7 linked regions of the Ovis aries genome follow. The protein of the gene in region 5 purifies or fractionates together with the protein of the main gene of each other region. This does not show direct contact. Links are inferred from orthologs where the notes say so. Each region holds a gene or a part of one and is shown on either strand. Other genes may lie near its edges.

What was found.
Region 1: the proteins of SOX2 (region 5) and DNAJB6 purify together in Homo sapiens (affinity purification with mass spectrometry; 3 studies listed by BioGRID and IntAct, with this or other methods). This does not show direct contact. The link is inferred for Ovis aries from reciprocal best matches to the Homo sapiens genes SOX2 and DNAJB6.
Region 2: the proteins of SOX2 (region 5) and ARID1A purify together in Homo sapiens (affinity purification with mass spectrometry; 3 studies listed by BioGRID and IntAct, with this or other methods). This does not show direct contact. The link is inferred for Ovis aries from reciprocal best matches to the Homo sapiens genes SOX2 and ARID1A.
Region 3: the proteins of SOX2 (region 5) and XRCC1 purify together in Homo sapiens (affinity purification with mass spectrometry; 3 studies listed by BioGRID and IntAct, with this or other methods). This does not show direct contact. The link is inferred for Ovis aries from reciprocal best matches to the Homo sapiens genes SOX2 and XRCC1.
Region 4: the proteins of SOX2 (region 5) and DNAJA2 purify together in Homo sapiens (affinity purification with mass spectrometry; 3 studies listed by BioGRID and IntAct, with this or other methods). This does not show direct contact. The link is inferred for Ovis aries from reciprocal best matches to the Homo sapiens genes SOX2 and DNAJA2.
Region 6: the proteins of SOX2 (region 5) and KHDRBS1 purify together in Homo sapiens (affinity purification with mass spectrometry; 3 studies listed by BioGRID and IntAct, with this or other methods). This does not show direct contact. The link is inferred for Ovis aries from reciprocal best matches to the Homo sapiens genes SOX2 and KHDRBS1.
Region 7: the proteins of SOX2 (region 5) and SSB purify together in Homo sapiens (affinity purification with mass spectrometry; 3 studies listed by BioGRID and IntAct, with this or other methods). This does not show direct contact. The link is inferred for Ovis aries from reciprocal best matches to the Homo sapiens genes SOX2 and SSB.

What each region holds. Positions count from the first base shown.
Region 1 is NC_056057.1:120,185,083-120,189,328, reverse strand, and holds the start of DNAJB6 (dnaJ homolog subfamily B member 6), read right to left. Parts: upstream 2,887-4,246; 5' UTR 2,787-2,886; exon of another isoform or gene 1-2,786. UniProt on the Homo sapiens protein: Has a stimulatory effect on the ATPase activity of HSP70 in a dose-dependent and time-dependent manner and hence acts as a co-chaperone of HSP70. Plays an indispensable role in the organization of KRT8/KRT18 filaments.
Region 2 is NC_056055.1:240,201,142-240,205,530, forward strand, and holds the start of ARID1A (AT-rich interactive domain-containing protein 1A), read right to left. Parts: upstream 2,932-4,389; 5' UTR 2,169-2,931; coding exon 1,023-2,168; intron 1-1,022. UniProt on the Homo sapiens protein: Involved in transcriptional activation and repression of select genes by chromatin remodeling (alteration of DNA-nucleosome topology).
Region 3 is NC_056067.1:51,467,716-51,470,941, reverse strand, and holds part of XRCC1 (DNA repair protein XRCC1), read left to right. Parts: coding exon 1-69; intron 70-272; coding exon 273-569; intron 570-776; coding exon 777-1,035; intron 1,036-1,247; coding exon 1,248-1,364; intron 1,365-2,633; coding exon 2,634-2,727; intron 2,728-2,868; coding exon 2,869-3,004; intron 3,005-3,226. UniProt on the Homo sapiens protein: Scaffold protein involved in DNA single-strand break repair by mediating the assembly of DNA break repair protein complexes. Negatively regulates ADP-ribosyltransferase activity of PARP1 during base-excision repair in order to prevent excessive PARP1 activity.
Region 4 is NC_056067.1:14,920,643-14,924,727, reverse strand, and holds the end of DNAJA2 (dnaJ homolog subfamily A member 2), read left to right. Parts: intron 1-593; coding exon 594-738; intron 739-875; coding exon 876-1,003; intron 1,004-1,538; coding exon 1,539-1,730; 3' UTR 1,731-3,444; downstream 3,445-4,085. UniProt on the Homo sapiens protein: Co-chaperone of Hsc70. Stimulates ATP hydrolysis and the folding of unfolded proteins mediated by HSPA1A/B (in vitro).
Region 5 is NC_056054.1:206,122,349-206,125,439, forward strand, and holds SOX2 (transcription factor SOX-2), read right to left. Parts: upstream 1,606-3,091; coding exon 643-1,605; 3' UTR 570-642; downstream 1-569. UniProt on the Homo sapiens protein: Transcription factor that forms a trimeric complex with OCT4 on DNA and controls the expression of a number of genes involved in embryonic development such as YES1, FGF4, UTF1 and ZFP206. Binds to the proximal enhancer region of NANOG.
Region 6 is NC_056055.1:235,469,412-235,473,665, reverse strand, and holds the start of KHDRBS1 (KH domain-containing, RNA-binding, signal transduction-associated protein 1), read left to right. Parts: upstream 1-1,408; 5' UTR 1,409-1,565; coding exon 1,566-1,947; intron 1,948-4,254. UniProt on the Homo sapiens protein: Recruited and tyrosine phosphorylated by several receptor systems, for example the T-cell, leptin and insulin receptors. Once phosphorylated, functions as an adapter protein in signal transduction cascades by binding to SH2 and SH3 domain-containing proteins.
Region 7 is NC_056055.1:139,780,946-139,785,064, reverse strand, and holds the start of SSB (lupus La protein), read left to right. Parts: upstream 1-1,207; 5' UTR 1,208-1,317; intron 1,318-2,015; exon of another isoform or gene 2,016-2,018; 5' UTR 2,019-2,253; intron 2,254-3,368; 5' UTR 3,369-3,377; coding exon 3,378-3,443; intron 3,444-4,119. UniProt on the Homo sapiens protein: Binds to the 3' poly(U) terminus of nascent RNA polymerase III transcripts, protecting them from exonuclease digestion and facilitating their folding and maturation.

The sequences.
Region 1 (4,246 bases), on a different chromosome or scaffold from region 5:
GAGGCTCAGAGACGAGGCAGAGGGGTGCCCGAGGCAGCCTCGGGGGCCTGGGAACAGGAAAGAACTCCTGGAAGTGAGGCCTCCTCCAGCGGACCGCCACTTGCTCTGCAAAGGAGTGAGAGCAGCTTGGCGCCCTCTCTTAGAGCTCAGACCCACTGCCCGGGCACAGCGCACCCAGCTGAGAAGAGGAGGAAGCGGGAACCTGCCGGTCCCGGAGATTCACCGCCTGTCACGGCACTTCCTACACTCCGAGAAGGACAAGCAGAGAGAAGGAGCGCGGTTCTGTAGCTGAAGCCACATGGGTCCTCGCTCACCCCTTGAAAGCTTCTCTAGTGGACGGCCTCTCCTCTCCAGCAGCATCCCTGCAGGATGACCGTGTCCGGGTTCCCAGTAAGCTGGCATATTCCCCTCACTTCCCCCCGCTACTTTTTTACTTTATCTCTTAACATATTTGACTTAAAAAAATTATTTAGTTTTAATTGAAGGATAATTGCTTTGCAGGATTGGTTGGTTTCTGTTGAATCAGCCGTAGGTGGACCCGCGTCCCCCCATCCTGAGCCTCCCTCACACACCCTACTGTTCTGAAGCCCAGATGAAGCTGGAAAGGGCTGTCTGGGGTTGAAATGGAAACTATGGTCACAGGACAGGGCTTCCCCAGCACATAGCCACCAGCAAATGGAACCCCCCCCCCCCCCGCCCAAGATGGAGCCAGGGCAGCCCCCTGACCCCCCAGCTCTAACAGACTGTCCCTTCAACACAGACCCTGCCCCCCTACTCTGAGTTCTTAGTTTCTCAGAACTCCGGGAAAATTGAAAAAGCAGTCGAATGAACAGGTGTCTTCGCCTCCATTCGCCAACTGCTGCTGCCCCTCAGCTCAGTCTTTCTTCCTTTTCCAGTTTTTGCTGAGCCATCTGAACGCGGGTTACAGACATCCTGACATTTTGCCTCCAGCTGTCTTAGCACGTATGATCTCATAAGGAAAGCTTCCTCGTGTCGAACGTCATCACTCGTAAGAAAAGAGACGTTCGTGCAAGAACGTGATCTAACGTGCAACTGAAGGGGGCCAGAGTCACCCTGGCCTTCCCAGGCGGCGCTGGTGGTGAAGAACCCACCTGTCAATGCTGTGGGTGAAGAGTAAGAAGAATGAGAGTCAGAGGTTCGATCCCTGGGTCGGGAAGGTCCCCGGGAGGAGGGTGTGGCAGCTCACCACAGCATTCTTGCCTGGAGACTCCCCAGGACAGAGGAGCCTGGAGGGCCACAGTCCATGGGTTGCAAAGAGTCAGACATGAGCGTGCATGTACCTAGAGTCAGTTCAGCTTTTATGGGGCCCCCGCAGGGATGGAAGTTGCTTTCTTCCTGTTACTCTGTCTTATGTCAGTTTAACTGTTAGACTGGCCAGAGTCTAGAAGAGCAAGGAAAGAGTTTCCTCCCCAACAGAGTCCCCAGCTGCATCCACAGCGTCTCACTTTGTTCTGACGTCGAGGAGGAGGAAGACTCCCAGCCTGTCCGAGGGAGGCCTGGCGTGGAGTGGAGTGGACGTGGGGCAGCAGGGACGTCCCGGGGCCGGTGCCCACGCAGGGGTCACCTCGGGTCAGTTCCCCAGCCTGGACAGAAGGCCTGCTCCCTCTCGTTCCCGAGTCCCCCGGCTTCGAGGGGACCACTCTCTGCAGCTGCACCCAGCACCTGTGTCTTCTGTGCCCCGTGCCCTGGAAATCAGGCCCTTTGGAAGTAGACCCTCCCAGGCCTCTCCTCCCTGGGGACGTCCATCAGAATCACCGTAGCCCTAACCCTCCCAGTACTGGCTACCCCTCCAGCCAGCACCCACAGCCCCATGCCCAACCCCCAGTGCCTTCCAGGGTCTGAAGCACAGAGTAGGTCTCCGCAAATGTTTATGGACTAGATGGGTGAATGCGTACTGACACCTTCCTGCACCCAGAGGCTGGAGATGGTGGTCCAGGAAAACCTTGGCCCAGAGGGCTCGCTCCAGCCGGAAGGATGCTGACGGCCAGCCCGGGGCCCAAAGAGCAACCTAGGGGGCCAGGGGCAATTCTGTAGCCAGAGGGCAGGCTCCGAGCTCCCTGGGTGCAGGCTCCAGGCTCACAGTCCTGCCAGCCATGGGGGTGGGGGCGTCAGGCTCAGGGGACTGAGGCCCTCTGGGGAATACTGGCGCTGAGGGGCGGGCTGCCTTTCTGTGACCCTGCCCCCCAGCAGTTCCCTGTGCTGTGCAGGCAGAGGAGGGCCACACAGACGTGCCTCAGTGCCCGGGTCCCCGGCCCGCTCCTGTCCTGTGTCCCGTTCACCCTCTGATGGACTCGGGACATTGCCTCAGCAGCCAGCTCGGCCAGCGGTCACCCTCCGGGAAGGAGAGGCCTTACTGTGCTCCGGGGTGGGAAGGAGAGGATGCAGGCAGACCACCAGCCGCTCAGAGGTGCTTAGAGGTGAAGCTTCTCAGGCTGGGGTTGCAGGAGCCCCCAGGGCTCTGAGAGCTGGGCCCCAAAGGCCCAGCAAAGGGACCCCACCAGGGGCGCGTCTGCATGCCTGCCGACGTCTCACAGTGAGCATCAGCGGCGTTAGCCATCCACGCGGGCCTGCGTTTTCCAGAAAGAAGGCAGGCCTGGGAGCCCGCCAGCCGCCCTCACTTAGACACCGCCCGGCTCTCAGACCCACAGCCGTCACCAGGATGACCCCAGGAAACCTCACACCGCTCAACAGATGAGGGGGTCAGCTCAGGACAGCCACCCGCGAGGGCTGAAAGTAAGGCGGGCTCTCGTCTGTCTGAACTGCACCTTTTTATCCAGAGTGAAGGCGCTCACGAAGCCGGGAAGCCCGACGGCTGCGTGGTCCGCCCGCCGGAGTCCCGCTGCTCCTGGGGTCGTTTCCGTTTCCGGGGGGCGGGCGGCTCGCCGCAGGCTCCAGGCCCCTTCCTCCGGGCATCAGGAGCCGGAAGTCTCGCTCACCTGACCTGACCGGCGAGCAAGCCCGCGGCCGCGCCCAGGTCTCTGGTTGCCGGGCGCCCGCTGGCCGCGGCCCACATTCCTTCCATTCTATCTGCACCCACGTGGCTCTTGGCGCCCTTACAGCAGCCGGACGCCCCTCGTCTTTCCAGCCCCTCATCACTTGGCAAGCAGTCCCGGTATTAGCAGGATTTGCGGGTCAGAACGATAGAGGCAGACGAACCAGATCCAACTGGCCGGGGTTTCAATCCTCCCAGAGCTGCAGCCGCCTCTGGAAGGGGCTGTTGGCCAGCGTCCCCGTGGGGCACGGGCGCGCTCCAGCCACCCCGGGAGAGCCGAGGCCCTCCGCCAGCTGGTGGGCCCCCTGTCCTGCCGGGGGGCGGTTCCTGGTCCTTAGGGACCCCGGGCTCGGGGTGGAAGCCTCAGTCCCGCTGGGTCAGCAGCTGACTGTTTCCAGGGAGATCTGGTAGAAACTGCCCTGCCCTGCCTCCACTTTCCCCACTTTGTTCCCTAGAATTAAGCCTCAGGGTCTAGGTTCTTGGCCATTTAGAACTGCATGCTGATTACAACAAAGTGAAATAAGTGTAACTTCTTACGTCTGTTAAGATCAGAGAAGATTTTGGAGTGATGGGAATTAATTCTTTTTCCCCCCCAAAGTTGTTTTAATTATACTACTCCCTGGAAAAGACCCTGATGCTGGGAGAGATTGAGGGCAGGAGGAGAAGGGGACGACAGAGGGTGAGGTGGTTGGATGGCATCACCGACTCGATGGACATGGGTTTGGGTGGACTCCGGGAGTTGGTGATGGACAGGGAGGCCTGGCGTGCTGCGGTTCATGGGGTCGCAAAGACTCGGACACGACTGAGCGACTGAACTGAACTGAACTGAGAATGGAGACAGCATCCCAGTCCGGCTCTGGCCAGTGGGGCGAGGTGAAGGGTAAGGTGGCAGACTTCCAGCACTTTCTTTAAGATGCCCCAACCTCCTGGAGCAGGGCCCAGATCCCCCTGCCCCGGCCCCCGGCCTGCCCCGTCCTGGACCCCCCCTCTCCTCTGCCTCGGGCCGCGTCCTGGGCAGGCACCAGGTCTCTCCTTTCTGCCCACTCCTCCTGATGAACATAGCAGGAAGTACTCCGGAATCCCAAGAAAGTTAGGATGGGAACCTCCCTGGTGGTGCAGCGGTTAAGAGTCCATGCCTTCAATGCTGGAATGAGGGTTTGATCCGGTCAAGAAGCTGAAGGCCCACATGCTGTGCAGCTGAAAGGAAAGTTAGGACCAAGCTTAGAAACGGCA
Region 2 (4,389 bases), on a different chromosome or scaffold from region 5:
CCCACTGCCTCCTCTTTTGTTCCGGGCACAATGTAACAAGGGCAGCCTGTCTGGGGCTCTGCTCCTGCTGATACAGTATTGCTGCTTAAATCTCCCTCCTCAAGGTCACAGCCAATTTCAGCTCTGGAATAAAAGGCAGATAGTGGCAGCGATGGTTTGGGTTATCACTGGCAGAAAAGCAGAGTGTAAAAGTTTATGAGCTCATCAGGATTGTTGTACCATTACATCAGAGGCAATTATAAATGGCCAAGAGCAGGAGATGGGGAGCCAATCAGATCACAGATAGGATGTCAACCTAAGACCAACTGTCTCCTGGCTTTGACAGAAGGATTTTACCTCCATAATTCAAATCCCAAACCAAAGCAATCTGCACTTACTACTCCAATCACTCAGCTGTTTACCAGCACTTCCAGGGAGAAGCCCAGGCCACTGGGCCGACGGAGACTAAGACAGGAGACGACCTGGGCTGCCCAGGGTGAACCGAAGCCGGGCTCTAGCTGCTCCCAAGCAGGCCCCTGCCCTCCCTCGAGGTCCCCCCGAGCCCGAGGGGCCCCCTCCTTGAAAGCACAGATGGGGACCGGCCTAGAGGAAGGTAGGGAGGGCAGAGAGGAGCGGCAGGTGAGCAAAGAACTGTTCACTCAACTCCCGACCTCCGAGGGCTGCCTACACCCCTAACCTGAGCCCCCAACACCCCCTCACCCCGGGCCGGGCCCTTTTCCCGCACACCCGGCTCCGCACCCCTCTGAAGACCCCCCGGAGCTGGAAGGGACCCGGGGAGGAGGAGGAGGGGAGCAGACACCTCAAGGAAAGCCCCACACAAAGGCTGAAGGAGGGAAAGAGAGGAAGGCAGACGGGCAGCCATTTTAAGAGAGAAAGAGCGAGACAATGGCAGCTCCCCAGCAGTGGGGGCCCCAGACTGGGGGTAGCCCACGGCCGTGGCCCGCTCCCCGCCGCCGCCATCCACTCCCAGGACCCCCCCGCCCCACTCGCCACAGCCCCCCCTACCCCACCAGCCGTGTTACCTGCGGGGTCCGGGCGAGCGGCTGCCCCCCGCCGCCGCTGCTCCCAGGGCTCATGGGCGCGTGGTGGCTCCTTTGTTGGGCCCCTCCCGAGGCGGCCGCGGCCGCCGCCGCCGCAGCAGCAGCAGCCCCCCAGCACTGAGAGGCCATGTCCGCCGGGCCCTTGCCGGCGCCCCCGTCCTGGGGCCCGCCGCCGTAGTCGCCCCCGGGGTAGCCCTGGTAGCCCCGGGCCGAGCTGGGCGACGTGAGCAGTTGGTTGAGGGTGGGGGTGGCGGTGGGCTGGGGGGTTCCCCCTGCGGCCGCTGAGGGGCCGCCTCCCCCCATGGCCCCGAAGCGCTGCTGAGCGAAGGACGAAGACGACGAGGAGGCGGAGGCGCTGGAGGAGGGAGGCGGCTTGGAGCCGGCGGCCGCCGCCGCCGCCGCGCCGGAGCCCGGAGTGCCACCTCTCGGGGAGCTCAGCGCGTAGGCCTGGGGGGGCGGGGGGTAGGCGCTGCGGTTGGGGTAGTAGGAGTTGTACTGGTGGTTGGGGAAGCCGTGGTCGTGCGAGTTCTGCTGGGGCCCCGCGTAGGGCTCCAGGCCCCCGCCGCCGCCGCCGCTCTGCAGCGCTGCCAGGCCAGGGCTTTGTTGTCCGCCATGTTGTTGGTGGAAGACGGCGGCCGCGGCGGCGGCGACGGCAGACGGGCTCCGGCCGTAGGGTTGCCCGAAGCCGTAGGCTGGGGGCGGCAAGGCGGCCGCGGCTGAGTGAGGAGGCGCCCCCACCCCGTCGCTGCTGCCGCCGCCACCGCCGCCGGGCGGCTCCGTGAGGTTATTGTTCAGGGCGGGCCTAGGGCCCGCGTTCCCGTTCGAGTTCTTCAGGTCCGGCTCCGCGCCGGGCCCGCCGGCTCCGCCGCCGCCGCCACCCCCATTGCTCTCGGCCCCGTCCTGCAGCTCCTTTCCCAGTGGCTGCGGCGGCCCCACGGCGGGGCCCTCGCTTTCCTGCCCGGCGGCTGCCTTCATTTCCCCGCGCTCCGCCGCGACCGCCGCCGCCGCCTCGCCCCCCGCCTCCTCCCGCTGCTGCTGCTGCTGCTGCTCCGCTTTCTTCAGCTCCGAGGGCGGCGGCGGCGGATTGCCCAGGCTGCTGGCGGCGGCGGGGGCGACCTGCGCGGCCATGATCCCCGCTGTCTCGTCCGCGGAGAGACCCGGCCCTGTCTTCGTCTTCTCTCACCCCCCTCCCACCCCACCCCGCCCCGGGGCCGAGTCCCCCCGGGCTTCCCTCCCCACCCGCCCGGGCGGGCCTCGCGGGGCTCCGCGGCTTTTGCGCTGCGCTCGCTCGCTCGCTCGCTCGCTCGCTCCTCTCCCCCCCGCCCCGCCGGCTCAGGCTCCGGGCTGGCGGCGGCGGCGGAGGAGGAGGAGGCGGCGGCGGCGGCCGAGGCGCCGGCGGCTCAGCTGCTCCCGGCTCTGTAAGCTCGGGACCCGGCTCTCCCGGCTCATTCCCCCCCAAGCCCTTGCCTGGGAATGAGGGGGGCGGTGGAGGCTCCGCTCCCCAGGGCCTGGCCCCGCTGTGACTCTCCGCTTTCTGCTGCCGGAGAAAGGAGGGAGGGAGGGAGGGGAGGGAGGGAGGCGAGGGGGAGGGGGCGGGGAGGGAGGGAGGGAGCGGGGGGAGGGGGACCCGGGACGGGCGGGCTGGAGGGCGCGCGGCAGCAGCCCGGGCGCCGGCAGGCAGAGTCGGAGCGTGGGCCGGGCCGGGCGCCCTGCCTCCCCTCCCCGGCCGCGGCGCCGGGCCGAGGCTGCTGCGCGGCGGCGAGCGGGCGAGCGGGCGGGCGGCCGGACTGAGCGGCTAGAGCGCCCCACTCTCCTCCGAGTCCCCCTCACTCCGACACGAGGCTCAGCACTGCCATTTTACCCAGCGCCGTCGCGGCCGCCTGGCAAACCCGGAACGGAGCGCGGAGCGGGGCGCAGGCCGTGGAACGGACTCGCTCCCTTCCCCTCACAAAGGAGGAGGGGAGAGAACCAGCCGCGGCGGCGGCGGCGGCGGCGGCAAGCGCTCTGCCGCTCTCGCTCGGCAGCGCCGCCGCCGAAGGCTTCGGGGAAAACCCGGCCCGGAGCTCGCGCCTCTCCGGAGCCTGCGCGCCGCCTCCCTCCTGGCCTCCCTATCCAGGTCGGTCCCCTTCGCGCCGCGGGCAGCGTGAACTTTACTCGCGGCTGCAAAATTGGCCTGAGCCCGAGACCGCGGCCGCCTCGGCCCAGGCCTGACCCCCCCTGGCAGCGGGCCTGGTCTCTTGGCCGCTACTTAGCATCTCCGCGGCACTTTTCCTTCTTCAAAGCCTTTTGCAGACCTGCTCCAAAGACCCAGCTGAGCTTTACGTTGTATCCTCTTTGCAAGCTGCATGGAATGACAGATCATTGTTTCAGACTTTCCGTTTTCCCACTCTCTGCCCTCATTAGCCGGTCCTCACAGGCCCTGGGGGCACGAAGTTCCTGATCCCCATTTTACAGACTCATAAGATAGCGAAGGGGACCGGCCTATCACTTAGTCTATCACTTACAAAGACAAGGGCAGTGGAGGGTGACTTTAAAAAGTAGCAGAGTCCCCAGTGCTGCCCCTGTCTACTTAGCGTTAGAAATAATAGTAATAAAAAGAAAAGTGGTGCCATATACAACAGTGGGATCAGAACATCAGAATGGGTTTGAGATTCAAGCTGGTCATCTCAACCGATATAAAATGGTCACCCCTGAAGATATTTTGGGGACATATGACCGCCTTCTTGGAGGAAGACACAAGCCCCACCTTTGCCCACAATGACCAAGGTCCCGTCTCCAAAGACAGTACCTGTAAGACTGTAACAGACCACAGAAGAGACTCCAGGGACTGGTGGAACCTGAGTGTTCAAAGGAACCTCTGCCGAAGAGGGATGACCAAGTAGAGGGAACCGTTTTCTCCTTAAAAAGAGAGAAAAGGTGCAGTCTAACACCTCACTCAGAAAACAGATGCAGCCTAAATTTGTTTTTCTATCCTTCATTGTAAGGAATCATTAAAGTTTACTGTTACATTCTAAGAGATGCTGAATGGGAGATGCTGAGTGAACTGGAGGTATACACAGAAAATTCTAGATTCACAGGCTCCACCACATCTCAGCAGCAGCCTTGTCCTCTGACTGACTTAGAATGCTCTGACATGACAGGCTACACAGGCCAGAAGGGATACCGGCTTCTCACGAAGCCCAGGGCTGCCTTGAGAGATGCTAGGTCAGCTAGTCATTAGACACCAGGGTTTCATCCCCACTTAAATATTGTAAATAGATGCTTCATGGCCACAGAACCATTACCTTAGAATTTCCAGATTCCGCAGGCCCCTGGAGGTTTTTTGGCTGTGCCACTCACTGGCCACTGA
Region 3 (3,226 bases), on a different chromosome or scaffold from region 5:
AGGATGAGAGTGCCAGCTCCCTGAAACCCGGGGCTCTCTTCTTCAGTCGTATCAACAAGACACCCCCAGGTGAGGATTCCAGAAAGCCTGGGTCCTGAGCAAGTAAAGGCTGGGGGCCTGGATCCTGGGCCTGAGGGAGTGGGGGCTGGGGCCTGGACCCCTGGGTCACTGCTGGGTCTTGGGAACAACACTTTGTGACCCATGGATAGAAAGGAGCCCGAAGGCCTGAGGGTCCAGCCCCCTCATCCTGGATCCACTATCCCCCTCTGCAGTGGCAGCCGGTGACCCGGCAGGACCCAGCTATGCAGCGGCTACACTGCAGGCCTCCAGTGCCGCCTCCTCAGCCTCCCCAGCCTCCAAGGCAGCAGGCAGCACCTTCAAGGTGAGATCACCAGACCCTGGGGGGGCAGAAAAGGAGGAGAGGAGCTGGAGGCCTCAGCACAACCCACCCCCTCAGCCTCAGGAGTCCCCCAAAGGCAAGAGGAAGCTGGATTTGAACCAAGAAGAAAAGAAGACCCCCAGCAAACCATCAGCTCAGCCCTCAGTACCTGCCCTCAAAAGACCCAAATGTGAGCAAACTGGATTCCTTGTTCCCACAGAGGGTCCAGGTGTGGAGGGGCAAGGGATCCTGGGTCTGAGGGAAGAGGGCCTGGGGGTCTGAACTCCTGGGTCTGAGAGAGGAGGGGCTGGGGAGCCTGAACTCCTGGGTCTGAGACAGGAGAGGTGGGCGTGTAGCCCTACATTTTCTAACTGAATCCACTGTCTGGCTTCCCCAGTGCCAGCTCCCCCCCGTACCCCAGCCACTTCCCCCACCCCTGCCCCAGCACGAGGGGCGGCACCAGAGAAGCTCCGAGGAGAAGGCGCTGAGCCCAAGGCCCCCCGCGCAGGCCCGCAGGAGCTGGGGAAGATCCTCCAGGGTGTGGTGGTGGTGCTGAGTGGCTTCCAGAACCCCTTCCGCTCGGAGCTCCGGGACAAGGCCCTTGAGCTGGGGGCCAAGTATCGACCGGACTGGACTCCAGACAGCACGCACCTCATGTAGGCCGGCGTCCCCTCCCCTCACTCCCCGCTGCGCCTTCTCCGACTTCTTCCATCTGCTCCGTCTTGCTCGCTCTCTGTCACCTCGCCTCTCCGCATCCTCTGCCTCTCGTTCTCTTTCTTTTCTTCCCTCCTCCCCTCTGTCTCTCTCCCATGCCCCTTGTCTCTTGGCCTTTGCCGCTCAGTCTGCCCTCCGTTCTGCTCCCCACCAGCTGCGCCTTTGCCAACACCCCCAAGTACAGCCAGGTCCTTGGCCTCGGAGGCCGAATCGTGCGCAAAGAGTGGGTGCTGGACTGTCACCGCATGCGGCGGCGGCTGCCCTCGCGGAGGTAAGGCCTCTCTGCACACGTGTGCTTTACACACGCACACCCCACCCCGACCCTGCCCCTCATCCCTGTGCCGAGCAGCGCCAGGGATCTGGGGAGAAATCAGGCTGTGGCCTGCCAGCTCGGGAGTCAGCCGACTTCCCAGAGGAGGAGGGGCAGGGCTGGGAGATGGGGAGGAGAGGGAGGGTATCCTCAGGGGTCCCAGGAGGGCTCTGGGAAGTCTGCTTAGCAAAGGAAAAGGCTGCAGGCTGGAGAAACAGCGTTCACAAAGGCTCAGGGCGGAGAATGAAGTGTTGCGACCTGTTGACATTCATTCGTCTGAAACCCCTGTGTGGTGTCAGGCTGGGCTGCCCACCGCTGGACCCCAGACATCGGTCCCTCCTTTCGAGAGCCTCTGACTTTGATGAGGGGCCAGACTTATTGTGAAATACTTTGGAGGAGGGCCCACAGGGAGAACTGCAGTGAGCCAGGGTTCCTCAAGGAGAAGAGGTTCGCCAGGCTGAGCTGAGGCAGAGGAGCCGAGGCTGGCTCAGCCTGGTGTCTGTTGGGAAGTGGGGCTCCTTTAGCAGTCTGAGCCCCTGGACCACCGGGGAAGGCCCCCAGCACTTTAAGCCTTCTGAGTTTTCCCACGAGCCCTGGTTCTACAGTGAGGGTGACTTTCCCGAAAAGGGCGTCACCAGGTTGGAAGCAACCGTATCACGTGCAGAAGGGTCTTAACGTGGGGGCCAGGGCAGCATGCCCAGCAGGTTCACTCGCTTCTGCTGCGTACGCACTCTGCCCTGTGATTTGGGGCCACTTGATTCATCTCTCTGGGCCTCCGTTTCCTCTTCTGTAAAATGGGGCTGAAAATAGCACCCGCCTCAGGATTCAGCGATTCTGAACCTGTAAAGTGTTCACAGCAGTGCCTGGCACACAGGAAATTTGCTTTCAAGATTTTTCCCTTGATCAGTAGGCATTCTCCTAATGAGAAACTGACTTTGATGCTTGCCGGAGAGAATTATTTCTGATTTTTTTTGTTTGTTTCTGAAATGAGACATTTCTTCCCTCGGAGGGGAAGCCAGGGGTTGCTGTGGTCAATGGTGTGGGTGGCTGAAGGTCCACGGGGCCCTTCTGGAGCTGGGAGAAGGGGTAGACCAGGAGGGAGACCACGTCTGCACCCTGAGGATTTATTTATTGATAGTAAATGCAAGCGCCTGCTGCTTCTTAAGCCCCCTCCCCACCTCCCCTGGAGGACGCATCTGCTGTTGGTCTGAGGCCCGATCCCTCCTCCAGGTACCTCATGGCTGGGTCAGGCTCGAGCAGCGAGGACGAGGGGGGCTCTCACAGCGGCAGCAGTGGGAATGAAGCCCCCAAGGCTCCCCGAAAGGTCCATGCCCCTTGCCCGGCATGGGGGAGGGTGGAGTCGGGGGGACACGGTACCCCAAACTCTCTACTTCTGTCTCCTGCGGGCACACACTCACACCCTCATTGCCCCTTCCCTCCTCCCTGACCCACCCTCCCTCCTCAGCGCCCCCAGACCAAAGCCAAGCCCCCTCAGGCAGCAGGACCTAGCTCACCCCAGAGACCCCCAACCCCAGAAGAGACCAAACCAGCCTCACCAGGGGCCCAGGAAGATAATGACGACACTGAGGCGGAGCAGTCAGGTCAGAGTCTGAGGGAAGAGCGGCTGAAGACCCAGATTCCCTCGTCTAAAAGGGGAAGGAGTTCCAAGTCTGAGCTCCTGGGTCCAGCGAGATGGGGCTGGATCCTAGACAGTGGACCTAGGGGGTGGAGGGAGGCCGCCCCCTCACCCCCAACTGGATCTGGGGAGCAATTGGGTTGGGGGTTGAGACACCCCACCTATGCTCAGGTGTGAGGCTGGGAGG
Region 4 (4,085 bases), on a different chromosome or scaffold from region 5:
TTAAAATGCTTGTTGAATAACCTTTGCATTACATAGTCCATAGGCTTATAGTGCATTAATAAGCCAACTTTCTTTAGCATTTGGTTTACATTCACCTAAGCAAGTTTTGTATCTTAGGTTAGGTAAAACTTGTTCATACTTAAATGAAGTGTTGGGTTTGAGCCCTTTTACTGGTTGAGCTTTTTCAGTTGAGCTTAGGCCTTCCCCTTCCCCTCTTAGAATCATGTCTGGAGGAAATTCCAGGTGAACCTGTTCTACAGAATCCCACTGGGTCTTGTACACCTTTTCCCTCATGGTTCAGAAATGGGCCATAATTGTAAGATATACTTGGTTCTGTTTTTTAAGCTTCAGCTGTGCCTTATGAGCCATTGTATTCCCAATTCCAATTCTTTTGTGATCGAAGTTTCTAGCATATTACTTGAGAATAGCTAGATTTCCTTATATATATTGATAAATTTAGGGAACTTAGGGATGGTGGCAATTTGACTTTTGCAGTAAATGGTAGAATTAAGGTTTTGATATTGTTTCAAGTTAAACAGCACAACAGAGCATGCCTCCATAGTTTCGATATTTCTTGTGTGCTTCATTTGTAGGTGTTCCAGAGAGATGGGAATGATTTGCACATGACATATAAGATAGGACTTGTTGAAGCTCTTTGTGGATTTCAGTTCACATTTAAGCACCTTGATGGACGTCAGATTGTGGTGAAATATCCCCCTGGCAAAGTAATTGAACCAGGTAAATCTTGATTTTTGTCTGATCTAAGATTCTATGTAATCTTCTACACTGGGTGACTCTCAAAAAGCATTTATTATTGAGCACTTGCTTGGGTAAAATTCTTAATATCTTCCCCTATTTATTTACTGAAATAATAGGATGTGTTCGTGTAGTTCGAGGTGAAGGAATGCCACAATATCGTAATCCCTTTGAAAAAGGTGATCTTTACATAAAGTTTGATGTGCAGTTTCCTGAAAACAACTGGATCAACCCAGATAAACTTTCTGTAAGTATTAGGCAACAGATGACTTAAAGTTTAATAATAGTTGTTTCTTTGTCACTTTCCATTTGTTTTGGGTGCTAAGATTAGATCACATCGTTTATTAATTTGAGTGATTGAAGGTCTGGCCTCATTGTTTTTTAAAGTGGAAATAGCTGCTGTAAAAGTTTATGGGGCCAAGTCAGGACTAGTGAAGGCATAAGCAGACTGCGTGAGGTGGGGGTAGGAGGATTGTGACCCTGGAGAGCAGATCTCTTACCCCAGCCTAGCATCTTCTGGTTGTTCATGCAGGAAGACATGTCTAATGTGAAGTTTTCCAGTGTTTACATGTTAGCGGTTAAATTTGTTTATTGTTTTCTAATCAGTACATGGGTTGCACAAAAGATGTCTAGATTTGGTCTGTGGGTCATCAATTTGTGATCTCTGGCTTAAAGTGCAAAGATTTTAAATGTCAGACATACACCTTGGATTTTATCAAAAGGGAAATTGATAGTAGATAATAATCTTCAAGCTCATCTTATTTTTTTTCATTTTAATGAAGGAGTTAGAAGATCTTCTGCCATCTAGACCAGAAGTTCCGAATATTATTGGAGACACCGAGGAGGTAGAGCTTCAAGAATTCGATAGCACTCGGGGCTCAGGAGGCGGCCAGAGGCGTGAAGCCTATAATGATAGCTCTGATGAGGAAAGCAGTAGCCATCACGGACCAGGAGTGCAATGTGCCCATCAGTAAACTCTGCAAACAGATTGCACAGGGGGAGTTTCTTTCCACATTGGCCTGGTTTGTTTTCTGCAATCCAGCTGGAGCGTCTGGTCAACCCAGATGAACTGATGGACATCTGTTGGTCTATGTGTAACTTTTAAAATTGGTATAGTATCTACAGAGTGTATAATTTAAACTAACCACAAAGCTTTACATCTTCATTTCGACTGTTCTATAGCAGAATAAAGCACTTGAAAGGAAACAAGACTCCCTTTCACACATGGGTTATAAGTTTCAGTCCTGATATCTGTGCTTGATTTTTATCAGTTTTGTGTAGATTTTATGTTTCATATTTTAAATTCAATTCCCACATTGTAAAGTTTGTGTACAGTTTGTCCTGAAGCTTTGTGTTTGGCTGCACCTGCATAAGCTGCTACAAATAGAATAAAGAATTTCATAGCCTGTATCTATCATTTAGATGCATGGGAAAATGGGCTTTGCACACAATGGGTTTGGAGCTGACTGGGAACAATGGAGAAAATATCATTAGCTGAGCTGTGGTTGTAAAGTTTTGGGCGGGGTTGGGGGATGTTTCTTTTTCTTTCTTTCTCCCCCGCCCCACCTGGTTTTTTTTGTTTTGTTTTTTTTGTTTGTTTTTTTTTTTGGTTTGTTTTTTTGGTTTTTTTTTTTTACCATCTTGTGAAAGGTTTCTGGAACTGAATAATAAAAAGCAGTTGGTGTAAATTACTCTTTGTCTCACATTTTTAGAAAGAACATATTATGAACTGTAAAATCTTTCCTTAAACAAGGACATAATTTGAACTGTAAAATCTATCCTTAAACTGGAGAATGTATCCTAGTTCTGGTTCTTAAACAGTGTTTAAAAACCCATTGGCCTGAAGCTTATGCCTCAGGCTCGTGCCCATTTTATAGTTTCAAAAGACTAGAGAAAGTTTGATACATTGGTAGAAACTGGCTTTATTGGCTTCAATTAATGCTTTGTAGAGTCAAGGACATCTAAGTTATATAACTCATGGTCCTGAGTATAGGGGCCAAGTTAACCTGGCCTCTGTATTTCCCCACCCCACTCTGTTTAAAAAAATAAGGTAACAGCAAATCAGTATTAGAACCATGTCTGCATAGAACCTGTTAAAATGCTCTGTTTTCATTAAATGTTAAGTTAAAGATTCTCTTGTCTCCATTAAGTTGAATATTTGAGACTGGGGGAAGCATTGATTACTGTTGTTTTACAGAAAGGTAAGACTCTTAGGCTGGTATGAGAAAAATCAGGTAAAACTACTATGGAAAGGATATACTGTTTTTTCATCTTCTATTATCTTTTCATTCCCAGAGTAGATATTTTTAGAACACACTTATTTTAGGGAAAAAATAGATCAGTTGTAGAAACGTTTGTAAAAGACGAATGGGAGAAAACTGAAAATTAAACATTTTTAATGTATTATGCCATCCCTGAGCCTATTTGTAGTACTTGCAGTCTATTTCTAGGTCTTATAGAACCTGAATGAAAAAAAAAAGTCCTGACATTGATCAAGGCCTGTGAGGTTTAAATTATTGCCCTATCCACTCTACCTCCATTGCACAAAGACTTTCACAGCCAGCCGGGGCAAGCTGCAAGAGCATAGCAGTTTTGTATCCAAGGTTACTTCCCCCACAACACTAAGGGAAAGCAATGCAGTGGCAATGCAAAATTTGTAGCCTTTCCAATAAAGGTTTGTAAAACAGTTGTACAGTGTAGTCTTTCTTTCAGTTCTATCCAGATTTCTGGATTGTAGTAGTGAACTATGTGAAAGTTGCTCAGTCATGTCCTACTCTTTTGTGACCCCATAGACTGTACAGTCCACGGAATTCTCTAGGAATGGGTAGTTTGCTTCAACAGGGGATCTTCCCAACCCAGGGACCGAACCCAGGTCTCCGGCATTGCAGGCAGATTCTTTACCAGCTGAGCCACCAGGGAAGCCCGAGAATACTGAAGTGGGTAGCCTGTCCATTCAGGGAATCTTCCTAACCTAGCAATCGAACCAGGGTTTCCTGCATCATGTGGATTCTTTACCAGCTGAGCTACGAGAGAAGGGGAATAAGACCTTGTTACGGTTATTTCACTGAAGCTACTGGCTCTGTTGCAGAGCATCTGTTTTAAAGAATAAGCATGTATCATTAGTACAAAGAACCTTTTATAATGGCTTTATTGAAATACAATTAATATACCTTTAAATCTACTTTTTAAAGGAAAGTACAAGGAATTCCCTGGCTGTTCAGTGGTTAGGACTCCATACTTCCAGTGTTGGGGTCCTGGCTTCAATCTGTGGACTGGAAACTAAGATCCCACAAGCCACATGGCCAAATAAAAGGTGTGCAGTTCAGTGG
Region 5 (3,091 bases):
ACAATTTTTAAACAATTAAAATGCCCAATCTGATTAATTTTCTTCTTTGCACGTTTGCAACTGTCCTAAATTTCAGCTGCAGAATCAAAATTCAGCAAGAAGCCTCTCCTTGAAAAATATTGGCAAATTCTCAGCTTATAAACAATGGACATTTTGATTGCCATGTTTATCTCGATAAATACTGTACAAAAGTTGCTTGCAAATATTAAAACATTTTTTTTCGTCGCTTGGAGACTAGCTCTAAATATTATTGGTAAAGACTTTTGCAAACTTTCTGCAAAGCTCCTACCGTATCACTAGAACTTTTAAAAAGTTTTGCGTAGTTTTCTTTCCTCCAGATCTATACAAGGTCCATTCCCTCGCCCTCCCCACCTGCCCACCCCAGGTTTTCTCTGTACAAAAATAGTCCCCCCAAAAGAAGTCCAGGATCTCTCATAAAAGTTTTCTTGCCGGCATCGCGGTTTTTGCGTGAGTGTAGATGGGACTGGCGTTTTCTTTTGCAGCTGTCATTTGCTGTGGATGATTTTTTTCTTTTTTTTTGAGCGTACCGGGTTTTTCTCCATGCTGTTTCTTGCTGTCCTCCATTTCCCTCTTTTTCTTTGAAAATGTCTCCCCCGCCCCTTCCAGTTCACCGTCCGGCCCTCACATGTGCGAGAGGGGCAGTGTGCCGTTAATGGCCGTGCCGGGCACCGGGCCGCTCTGGTAGTGCTGGGACATGTGAAGTCTGCTGGGGGCGGCGGGCTCCGGCACCTCGGCGCCGGGGAGGTACATGCTGATCATGTCCCGGAGGTCCCCGGCTTGGCAGGGCGCCCTGGAGTGGGAAGAAGAGGTAACCACAGGGGGGCTGGAGCTGGCCTCGGACTTCACCACCGAGCCCATGGAGCCAAGCGCCATGCCAGGGGTGCCCTGCTGAGAATAGGACATGCTGTAGGTGGGCGAGCCGTTCATGTAGGTCTGCGAGCTGGTCATAGAGTTGTACTGCAGGGCGCTCACGTCGTAGCGGTGCATGGGCTGCATCTGAGCGGCGCCGTGCGCGTTGAGGCCCGGGTGCTGCGGGTAGCCCAGCTGGTCCTGCATCATGCTGTAGCTGCCGTTGCTCCAGCCGTTCATGTGCGCGTAGCTGTCCATGCGCTGGTTCACGCCCGCGCCGAGGCCGGCGCCCACCCCGACCCCGCTCGCCATGCTGTTGCCGCCCGGGGCGAGCAGCCCTCCCGGCAGTGTGTACTTATCCTTCTTCATGAGCGTCTTGGTTTTCCGCCGGGGCCGGTATTTATAATCCGGGTGCTCCTTCATGTGCAGCGCTCGCAGCCGCTTGGCCTCGTCGATGAACGGCCGCTTCTCTGTCTCGGACAAAAGTTTCCACTCGGCGCCCAAGCGCTTGCTGATCTCCGAGTTGTGCATCTTAGGATTCTCTTGGGCCATCTTGCGCCGCTGCCCGCGGGACCACACCATGAAGGCGTTCATGGGCCGCTTGACTCGGTCCGGGCTGTTCTTCTGGTTGCCGCCCGCCGCCGCCGCGGTGGAGTTGCCGCCGCCGCCGCCGCCGCCCCCCGAAGTTTGCTGCGGGCCCGGCGGCTTCAGCTCCGTCTCCATCATGTTGTACATGCGGGCGCTGTGCGCGGGCCCGGCCCGCCGGCGGCCGCCGACCCTCGGCCCGGCCGGGACTTTGGGGGGCCCGCGGGCGGGGGGGAGAGGAGGAGGGGAGGCGGGCGGGGGTGCCGGGAGCGCAGGGCTCCGCGAGGAAAATCAGGCGAAGAATAATTTGGGGGAAGAAAAGAAAGAGAGAGGCAAACTGGAATCAGGATCAAAAAGCGCTTCCCTCCTCTTCTGGCCGATCCAGCCGCCGCCGATGATTGTTATTATTATTTTTTGGAAAGGCTTAAGCCTGGGGCTCAAACTTCTCTCCCTTTCTTTCTCTCTCTTCTTCTTTCTCTCAGTCCTAGTCTTAAAGAGGCAGCAAACTACTTTCCCCCTTTTGCAAACACTCTCTTCTCTGCCTTGACAACTCCTGATACTTTTTTGAACAAGTTAATAGACAACCATCCATGTGACGGGGGCTGTCAGGGAATAAATGGGTTTCCAGCGACCAATCAGCGCGCGGCGGCTCCTCCACTCGAGCCCAGCCTTGCCGGCGGGTTTTGCATGAAAGGGGGCGGGGCCTGCCGCGCCGCCGGCCGCGCGGGGGAGGCGGGGGGAAGGCGCGGGGGGGAGGGAGGGGGAGGCGGCTCCCACAGCCTGCCTGCCAGCCACTGAGAAACCTTTGTATCCCCTCTCGCAGCAACAGGTCACACCACACGCCTTTTCGGAGGAAGTGGGTAAACAGCCCTAAGACTACGATATTTTCTTCTTCAAACTTAATCTTGAATTTACTCTTTGGTGCGGGCTGCTGAAATGAGGAGGAGGGCGCGAGAAGCTGAGGTGGGGGTGGGGGCAAGGCAGAGAAGGTGGCTCAGTGAGACTGTCCCAGTAATATTTCGGGAAATCAGCCGTGCTGGAGTTGGTGTGTCATTGTTCTCCCGCTCCTCCGCACACTTCCCCCAACTCCAGCCGCTCCAGCGCTTCTCCCTAAGCTGGCTTCTCCGCTCGCCCTGCTCGCTCCACGGGCACCGACACTCGCTCGCCCCCTTCTCACACTGTCCCGACAAGAAGTTCTGTCCTCAAAATCTTCTTGCTTCCACGTAATGTGCTCTCTCTCTCTTTTTTTAAAATAAAGCCTGCTCCGACTGTGCGGCTGCCTCCAGAGCTGAGGTCAGACCAGGCCTGTGTGAGCAGCCGAATCCACCCTCTTCCCGGCCCAGCTCAGCCCGCGGGGCAGGAAACCACAGGCTGGTCCTCACCCTAGCCACAGCTCCCACCCATCTTCCTCCACTCAGTCCGTGCAAAAGGGGACGCTCGTCCTCTCTCCCCATTCTCCTGAGCTCCCCGCCCCCACCCCTCCCCTGCCCCAAAGAGGGATCTCAGTGGAGCCGGGTTCCAAAGGGGGGCTGGGGGGAAGAAAAAGATCAACAGAAGGGCCCTGAGAAGTGCAGCCTATGGGGGAGGGTAGTCTCAACTTCCTGGCATCCCCCGGCACTGCTTGGAGGTGGCTTTT
Region 6 (4,254 bases), on a different chromosome or scaffold from region 5:
TGATAATTTATGGAGATTTGTGTTTTGTTCTCATTCCTGCTGGTGATTTATCTCCCTACCCCCAAGAAGGCAGCCAAGCCCTAATGTTCCCTAAGCTGAAGGCTTCTAAGTTTCAAATCTACAAATCAGCAGTTTTTAGGCTCCCAGAAGACAATTTCCAGAAATGCTTTTGGAAAGCGTGGGTTTATTAGGGGAACAGATCCAGAAGGAAAAGGGATGAGAGCAAATGCTTTGAATGAGAGAAGAAAAAAAAAAAAAATCTGTGGGGGGAAGGGTTAGAGAAGGTACCAAGTGTTAGAGTTTATGGAAAGTAAGGACCTAGCCTTCATCTGCATATAGCACCCCAGGATAAGGAGTAGGCTGTGGGAGACTGTCCACTATAATGCCTTGGCCTTGAGAGCTGTGGTAAGGGTCTATCTCTTTGAGCAAGTGTAGAAAGATGATTTACAGCAGGAGGATTAGCACTCACATCAGAAGAAGCCACCCGAATGATGCAACCATCACAGATTAGAGCTGGCCTCTACCCCACTTTTTTTGTGAAAGAAACACAATCTGCAGAAAGCAGTACTATACGCAGAGAGTTAAAATGCTTCACCTTTCAGACGACTTCTCTGATCAACAACGGCTAAGTCTAAGAACCCACTATACTGGAAACGACAGGATACGACTTCTTGGACTCCCTGTTTCGGTCTGGGGCCCTTTTCCTGGCTGGATATTAGGTCCCTGATCTGAACCCTCCCTCTTAGTTTAACTCCTCCAATAGCCTTCAGTCTTTCCACTGACCAGTCCTTCCTCAATGGCCCCCTCCAAGTCTGGCCGCATCTCCACCCCTCAACCCTACGTCAGACTCTCCCTTAGTCGTTCCTTCTTCACTCTAATCTCCCTTGCGCCTCTCACCCTCGCCTTCTTCTGCCCAGTCAGCCCCAATTCCCTCTCCTTCCCCTCCCGCATCCCCCGGGAGGGTCTCCTTTCATTCTTCAGTAACCACTCCCCTCCCCACCCCGCGCCCGACCCACCGACTGAGTACAGGCACCCCCCCTCCACAGCTCAGCCGTTGGAGGCGTGGCCCCGCGAGTAACAGGTCTCCCGCCCCACACTCCGCGGGCTCGCGCGCAGACAAAGACATTCCACAGCCCCCGCCCCCTCTGTGCGCTCGGCCAGAAGAGGGAGGAGACACGTGTCCCGCTAGCGCCGAGTCACGTGGAAAAGAAACGAACGGAGCCCGCGGCCTCCCGCGCACGCGCTCAAGTACCCGGCCTGGAGGGCTCGGAGGGAAAAGGGGAGAGAGGAGGCGACTTCTTCAGACTCCACGGCGGTGCGCAGGCGCCGTGGCCCGACCGGGGACTTTGTTCTCCGCGGAGAGACCCAAGGGCGGTGCCGGTGGCTGGCTGCGCACGCGCGCCGCCTCATTTCCGGTGCTCTCTTTTGCTGGGTCGCTCGGGTCGGCTTCGGTCGCTGTCGCTCCCGCTCTCCCACCCCCGCCAACCGCCGCTCGGGCCGCCGGCGCTCAGGCCTCTGCCGCTACCGCGTCGCTTCCTCGATCCCTTAATCGCACATCTTTCCCAATGCAGCGCCGGGACGACCCCGCCGCTCGCATGAGCCGGTCCTCGGGCCGCAGCGGCTCCATGGACCCCTCAGGTGCCCACCCCTCCGTGCGTCAGGCGCCCCCTCGGCAGCCACCGCTGCCTCACCGGTCCCGGGGAGGCGGAGGAGGGTCTCGCGGGGGCGCCCGGGCCTCGCCCGCCACGCAGCCGCCACCGCTGCTGCCGCCCTCGGCCACCGGTCCCGACGCGACAGTGGGCGGTCCAGCGCCGACCCCGCTGCTGCCCCCCTCAGCCACTGCCTCCGTCAAGATGGAGCCGGAGAACAAGTATCTGCCCGAACTCATGGCCGAGAAGGACTCTCTTGACCCGTCCTTCACTCACGCCATGCAGTTGCTGACGGCAGGTAAGCGGGCCTCTGGGGTCCCTCTGGGTCTCCGGGCCAGCCAGGGGCATGGGTGGTAGCGGCTTTGTTCCTCTTGCTTCCCGTTCCCTGAGGACCTCGGCAATCGTGGACTCCTCTCATCTTCATCTTCGGAAGCTTAAGATTCCACGTTCCCATCCCGGCCCAGAGTGCGAGGGAGAATTTCCAGACGGCAGTGGAGGCCCGGAGGGAACTTAGCCATCTCTTAGCGCAAAGATCTTGATGGATAAATGCCGCGTTCCCCGCCCCCTTGGCCGACCCTTCCTCCTCCCCTCTTGCAGCTGCCCTGCGCTCCGAGTGCTCAGATTCTTCCAGAAAGGAACCTTCATCTCCCCCTTCCCCCAAAGGGGAAGCTTGTTTGATCGCGGGTGGCTGTCGGCGCCTCAACTGAGTGTAGGAGGTGAAGACAGCCTGAGCCGGGAGGGACCGTGAGTGGGGCGGGGGGCGAGGTGAGATGGGATGAGACTGGGGTGCCCTGTCCAGCGCCGCGGCCGCAGGGGCCGGTCGGACTTAGCGGTAACTGGAGCTTGAGTTGCTTGGAGGCAGGAGCAACCTGTGGGAATCCGAGCTTGAGGTTTTCCGAATTATATTTCCGACCTCGGCAGATAAGATGGTCATTTCTGCCTAGCCAGACGTTTTGGATCCCTTTATTTTATAATGTGTGTTGTGCATTCAAGAAAGGGGAAAAAAATAAACCTAGAGACGGTGAAGGGGTGATAGAAGGAGGTTAAGGATGGTTTGCGTGGCATTCCCAATCAGATGGGGAAAAAAATTGACAGAAGTTTGCGTGGCCTCCTCCCCCGCTCTTCTCAGTAGTGAAACAGACGAGGAATAGTAGTCTTTGTTCTCTTGTCTGTAGACTAGCGCTCCTTTTTTGCGCAAAACTAGCCATCATCTAGTCGCTCTGATTTCTCCTGAAAACCGCCTATTTTGCCCTCTCTTCCTGTTAAAACGGTATAATGAGTGTCTTATGATACCTAAATTTTATAAGCAAATAAAAATTCAAAACCTTCCAACACTGAGTGAGTAGTTGGACTCTTTGGCAGGATTGAAATAATGGACAGGCCCTATATGAAAATATCTTTTTCCCTGCGTTTGTTCTCTGTCTCCCAACATTAGAGATCTTTACTTTTAAACAGTAAACAAAGCCCCAGACATTCAAGAATAACATTTAAATAAACTGCTTACGGCTTCAGCTCTGTGCTTTGCTCTTCTATAACACAGTCAGATTGTTTGAAACATTACTGTTCATTGTGTTCTTCTGGCAAACTCTTTGAGGGCAAGGAAAGCTTTTTAAATCTTATTGTCTTGCATATAGCAAATACCAGTTGTTTGAATCTGAAAGCAAGTACATGTAGGTTCAAGAACCTCAGACAATGGTAAAAGTTGACTGGGTTTTATTTTTATTTTCTTGCATCTTCAAACAGTCCAGATTAAATGTATAGAATAAAATAACAAACTTTAGAACTGTAAGGTGTTGACTTGGCTTTGAAATTCTAGCTCTTGACTAGTCATCTATTCTTGGGAAACTTTTTGAATCTCACTAAGCTCATCTGTAAAGTGGGGTGGTGAGTTGTGAGGATTAAATGTTGTATAAAAAGCTCTGGCACAGTTCCTTTTGACCTGTAATCATTAGCTAATAACTTGCCACCAGTTTTCTCCTAGTTGTAAATTCGTGGTACAGATTTAGGATGAAAACGCAAAAATTTTCTTGCTATTCTACGCACATCAGGTGTCCAGTGCTAGTCTAGTCTTTTAAGTAAAATACGATTTCTTAGAATAGCTATCAAAAACTCAATCCTTATAGTGAAAGTTTTAGTTGCTCAGTCATGTTCGACTCTTTTGTGACCCCATGGACAGTGGAGCTTACCAAGCTCCTCTGTCCATGGGATTCTCCAGGCTAGAATACTGGAGTGGGTTGCCATGCCCTCCTCCAGGGGAATCTTCCTTACCCAGGGATTGAACCCAGGTCTTCTGCATTGCAGGCAGATTCTTTACCATCCGAGCCACCAGGAAAGCCTGATCCTTAAATAAAATTTTCACCTCTCTCTTACTGCTTAACTTTTGTCACGAGAGAGCGTGCTTTAATTTTTTTTTTAATTTGAGCTTTTTTCCCCCTCTCACTTTTTAAAAAACATATGTATTTTATTTATTTGACTGTGTCAGGTCTTAGTTTTCACCAATAAGCTTCATTCCTCTGTGGCATGTGGGATCTTAGATCCCAGGGCCAGGTATCAAACCTAGGTCCCCTGCATTGCAGGATGGATTCTTAACCACCGGACCACTGGA
Region 7 (4,119 bases), on a different chromosome or scaffold from region 5:
TTTATTTTGGGGGGCTCCAAAATCACTGCAGATGGTGATTGCAGCCATGAAATTAAAAGACGCTTACTCCTTGTAAGGAAAGTTATGACCAACCTAGACAGCATATTCAAAAGCAGAGACATTACTTTGTCCACAAAGGTCCATCTAGCCAAGGCTATGGTTTTTCCAGTGGTCATGTATGGATGTGAGAGTTGGACTATAAAGAAAGCTGAGTGCCAAAGAATTGATGCTTTTGAACTGTGGTGTTGGAGAAGACTCTTGCGAGTCCCTTGGACTGCAAGGAGATCCAACCAGTCCATCCTAAAGGAGATCAGTCCTGGGTGTTCATTGGAAGGACTGATGTTGAAGCTGAAACTGCAATCCTTTGGCCACCTGATGCGAAGAGCTGACTCATTTGAAAAGACTTTGATGCTGGGAGGGATTGAGGGCAGGAGGAGAAGGGGACGACAGAGGATGAGATGGTTGGATGGCATCACCGACTCGATGGCCGTGAGTTTGGGAGAACTCCGGGAGTTGGTGATGGACAGGGAGGCCTGATGTGCTGCAATTCATGGGGTTGCAAAGAGTCGGACACGACTGAGCGACTGAACTGAACTGATGCTGCTCCTATTATTATACGCCAGGCACAGTTCCCGACAAAAGGTATACGTTGTACCATGTTTTATACTCACGACAGCTATATAAAGTGTAATATAGTTATCACTGGCCCCATTTTATATATGAAGGATAGAGAGGTTGAGTAACTTTCCCAAAGTCACACAGCCTGTAAACTGGAGAGCTGCTGACCGCTGGCAGTCTGATTTCAAGAGTTCCAGCTCCTAAAGTCTCTACTATATTTTTTCCCCTCAACTTTAAGATTCCATGAATTTTTCATTTAAAAAATGAAATGTTTTACTTGTCATTTTTAAAAAATGGGTTAACTATTACGGATAATCAAAACAATTTTTTTTAAAAGTACAGTCAACCACTTCATGTGAATGGAGAGCCCACGGAAGGTCTGGAAATACAAATGCTGTCCAGAAATACTTAAAAATAAATATTTACCCTAACACTTCCAAAGTGCTGCTGAATATCGTAACTCAATCTCACCGAAACAATGCGCAGGACTTCTCAGACCTTGGGAGGTTGCAGCAGAGGCGCATGCTCACAGGGCGGAGCCGGCTCGGGTGCGCCGGAAGCCCCGCCCACTTTGACCGCAAGGGTTGCCGGGACGGCCCCCATCTTCTTTACGTGAGGTGGGAAAGCCGGTGGCTCAGAGGAGTGCAGACGCTACTTGGTGACCCTGTGGCGCGTCTCAGTGGGGCCAGGAACTGAAAGGTGAGCAACTCTAGGTGGCTAAAGAGAAGAAAGTACAAAAGGGTCTGTTTTGCGTGTTGCGCGACGGCGCGTCCCTTTCATTGCTGCCTCACGCTGGGTGCGTCCGCTCTTCGCCTTCCTCGCGTTCCGGGCGAGCGCCGCGTGGGCCGCAGCCCGTGGTGGCAAGCTGCGCTGGGGGCTAAGGGGCGCGGGCCGCTGCGAGATGGGGAGTCGATTCTGCGTTCTTCGCGGTAGCGAGGATTTCCTCGCACGTGGCTGGGGCCCAGGCGACCAATTGGTTGCTTTGGGACGGGCTGTGGCGGATTATTTGGACGCAGGCTGCCTGCATCCCCACTGCGTCTTTAAGGTTTCGTATCTTCACCGTTTTGCAGTGTCGCCGAAAGCGAATGTTTGGTTGGGCTGTATAAGATTCCGGGGAGGTTGATGTGGGTTAAACGCAGAAGGGTTTCTTGGATCATACGAGGCAGACTGGGGTCAGGGAATCGGGGCCACAGATGTTCTCATGGCGTCACTCTCTTGGATTTTAACGGTCATTATTCACTCACATCAGGGCTTCTGAGCGAAACTGAAAAACTTGGGTAATGTTTCAGTTGTACATTCTAAGAGTGTATCTCATGAGATGAAGTTCCAGTTTTGAGTAGGCCAAAGAAGTGTTGCAGGGACTAAATAGTTCTTTCATGTCACCCTTTTCTTTATAGAAGGCTCTGGAGTACAGTAGGGCTTCCCTCGTGTCTCAGTGGTAAAAAACTCGCCTGCCAGTGCAGGAGACGCTGGTTCGATCCCTGAGTCTGGAAGATCCCCTGGACAAGGAAATAGAAACCCACTCCAGTATTCTTGCCTGGGAATTTCCGTGGACAGAGGAGCCTGGTAGGCTGCAGTCCATGGGATCGCAAAAGAGTCGGACACGACTAAGCGACTAAACAACAACATATCACGGTAATAACTTAGGAATCGTGGTGGAAAACCCATTGCGTAAGATTGACCAAATTTTGTTAGTAAGGTGTTGCACCATAGGAGAACTTCCAGTGTGCATCCATGTTATTGCATGGTAATTACAAGTTATAAAGGGTTGCCTCCAACATGTGTATCACTAGAGTTAACTAATGGCAGATAGCCTTGATGAATTATTCTAAATATACTTTTATACAGTGTGTTTTGATGGCTTAATGGAGTACTAGAAGCAAATAATTTGAAGTCAGGAGACTGTTAGTCCTAGCAAACCAACTTCACAGACTTACACGATTTTCTTGCAGTGTTATTGTGAGTGATGTGAAACAGGAATGTGGCTGTAAGGTTAACCATGTTAGTAGGCATGTGTATGTGCGTGCTCAGCCAGCTTCAGTCATGTCCGACCCTGTGACCCTATGGTCAGCAGCCCAGAAAGCGGCTCTGTCCATGGGATTCTCTAGGCAAGAATACTGGAGTGGGTTGCCATGCTCTCCCGGGCTGTCTTCTGCACTGGTAGGCGGGTTCTTTACCACTGGTGCCGCCTGAGAAGCCCAAATAGTAGGCATACTCCAGTTTAATGTTGTTTTAGTGTTCTCAGCTTCTCAAATGAGCATTTTCATATATTCCTTAATATTAGCATTAATTTGTTCAACGCTGTGTAACATTTTTAAAATTTTGTTTCACCCAAAAGTTTTGATAACATAATCTTGTTTTTAGTAAATCAACTGTGGCTGATTTTTAAGAAATTCAGTCACACCAAACAAGACAGATCCATGATATTGACAACTGACATGCTTAAATGCATGGAGTTTTTTCCCTCAGAGCTTTCTGGATCAGCTAAATGAAGATGACCCACTCACTTTGTTATAGAGGATAGAACAATGATTGACTGAAAGAAGTGAGGATCGTTGATAGTTTTTCATCACTTATTTCAAAATTTTTCTTTTGTTGAAATTAGAAAATTGAGTAGAGAAATTGAACCTGTAAAATTGTTTTTTATTTAGGAAAATAGTGGGATATTGATAATTAAAACATTCTTTTAAAAGTCTTGAGTTCTCTGTAAAAGGTAAATAACTTTTATGCCAATTTGGAAATTTTTGCAGCTAGCCAGAATGGCTGAAAATGGTGATAATGAAAAAATGGCTGCTCTGGAGGCCAAGATCTGTCATCAAATTGAGGTATGATTCTTGTGGTATTACAATGTGAAAACACACTCTTTGAGAGGAGATTTAGGACCTTAAAGATAGAGCATTTAATTTTGATATATTGACCTATTGAACATTCTGGTTTGTTTTTGGTTCTTGGTGTTAAGGTGGGTGCACAGTAGTGTACAGTTTTATATTGGTGGGGCCAATTTCTAAAACCCATTCAATAGGTAACACTATAGACCAGCTTAACTTTACTTCTTTACTGCTTTTGTTTCCTGGTCTATAAAATGAGGATAGAATTAGGTTGTGAGGTGTACAGTAGTTCATAAAATGTTAAACATTTTTGAATAATATGTAGCACATAGAAGGATAATTTAAAAATTCTTTGTGAAATACCTTCCCTGTTAAATAGCACTTTATTCTTGAAGGTCCTGATAGTTTTTCTACTCAATTAGGTCTTCTCAATCATCATAACTTTTAAGTGTCTGTTCTCAAAGTTCTCTTAAACTTTTTTTTAAATTTAGGTATTGTAAAAAGTTGCACTTCTGTTATTTTGAAGTTCCTGTGTTACAACTTTTTTTTTTTTTTTTACTAATTTCTTTATAATTGTGAAGAAAAATTATAAATTATTCTATTTCAGTATTTGGAATAGTACAAAAATGTATGTGGAAAAGGTCAGTAATGTCCCTTCCACAACCTACCCCTC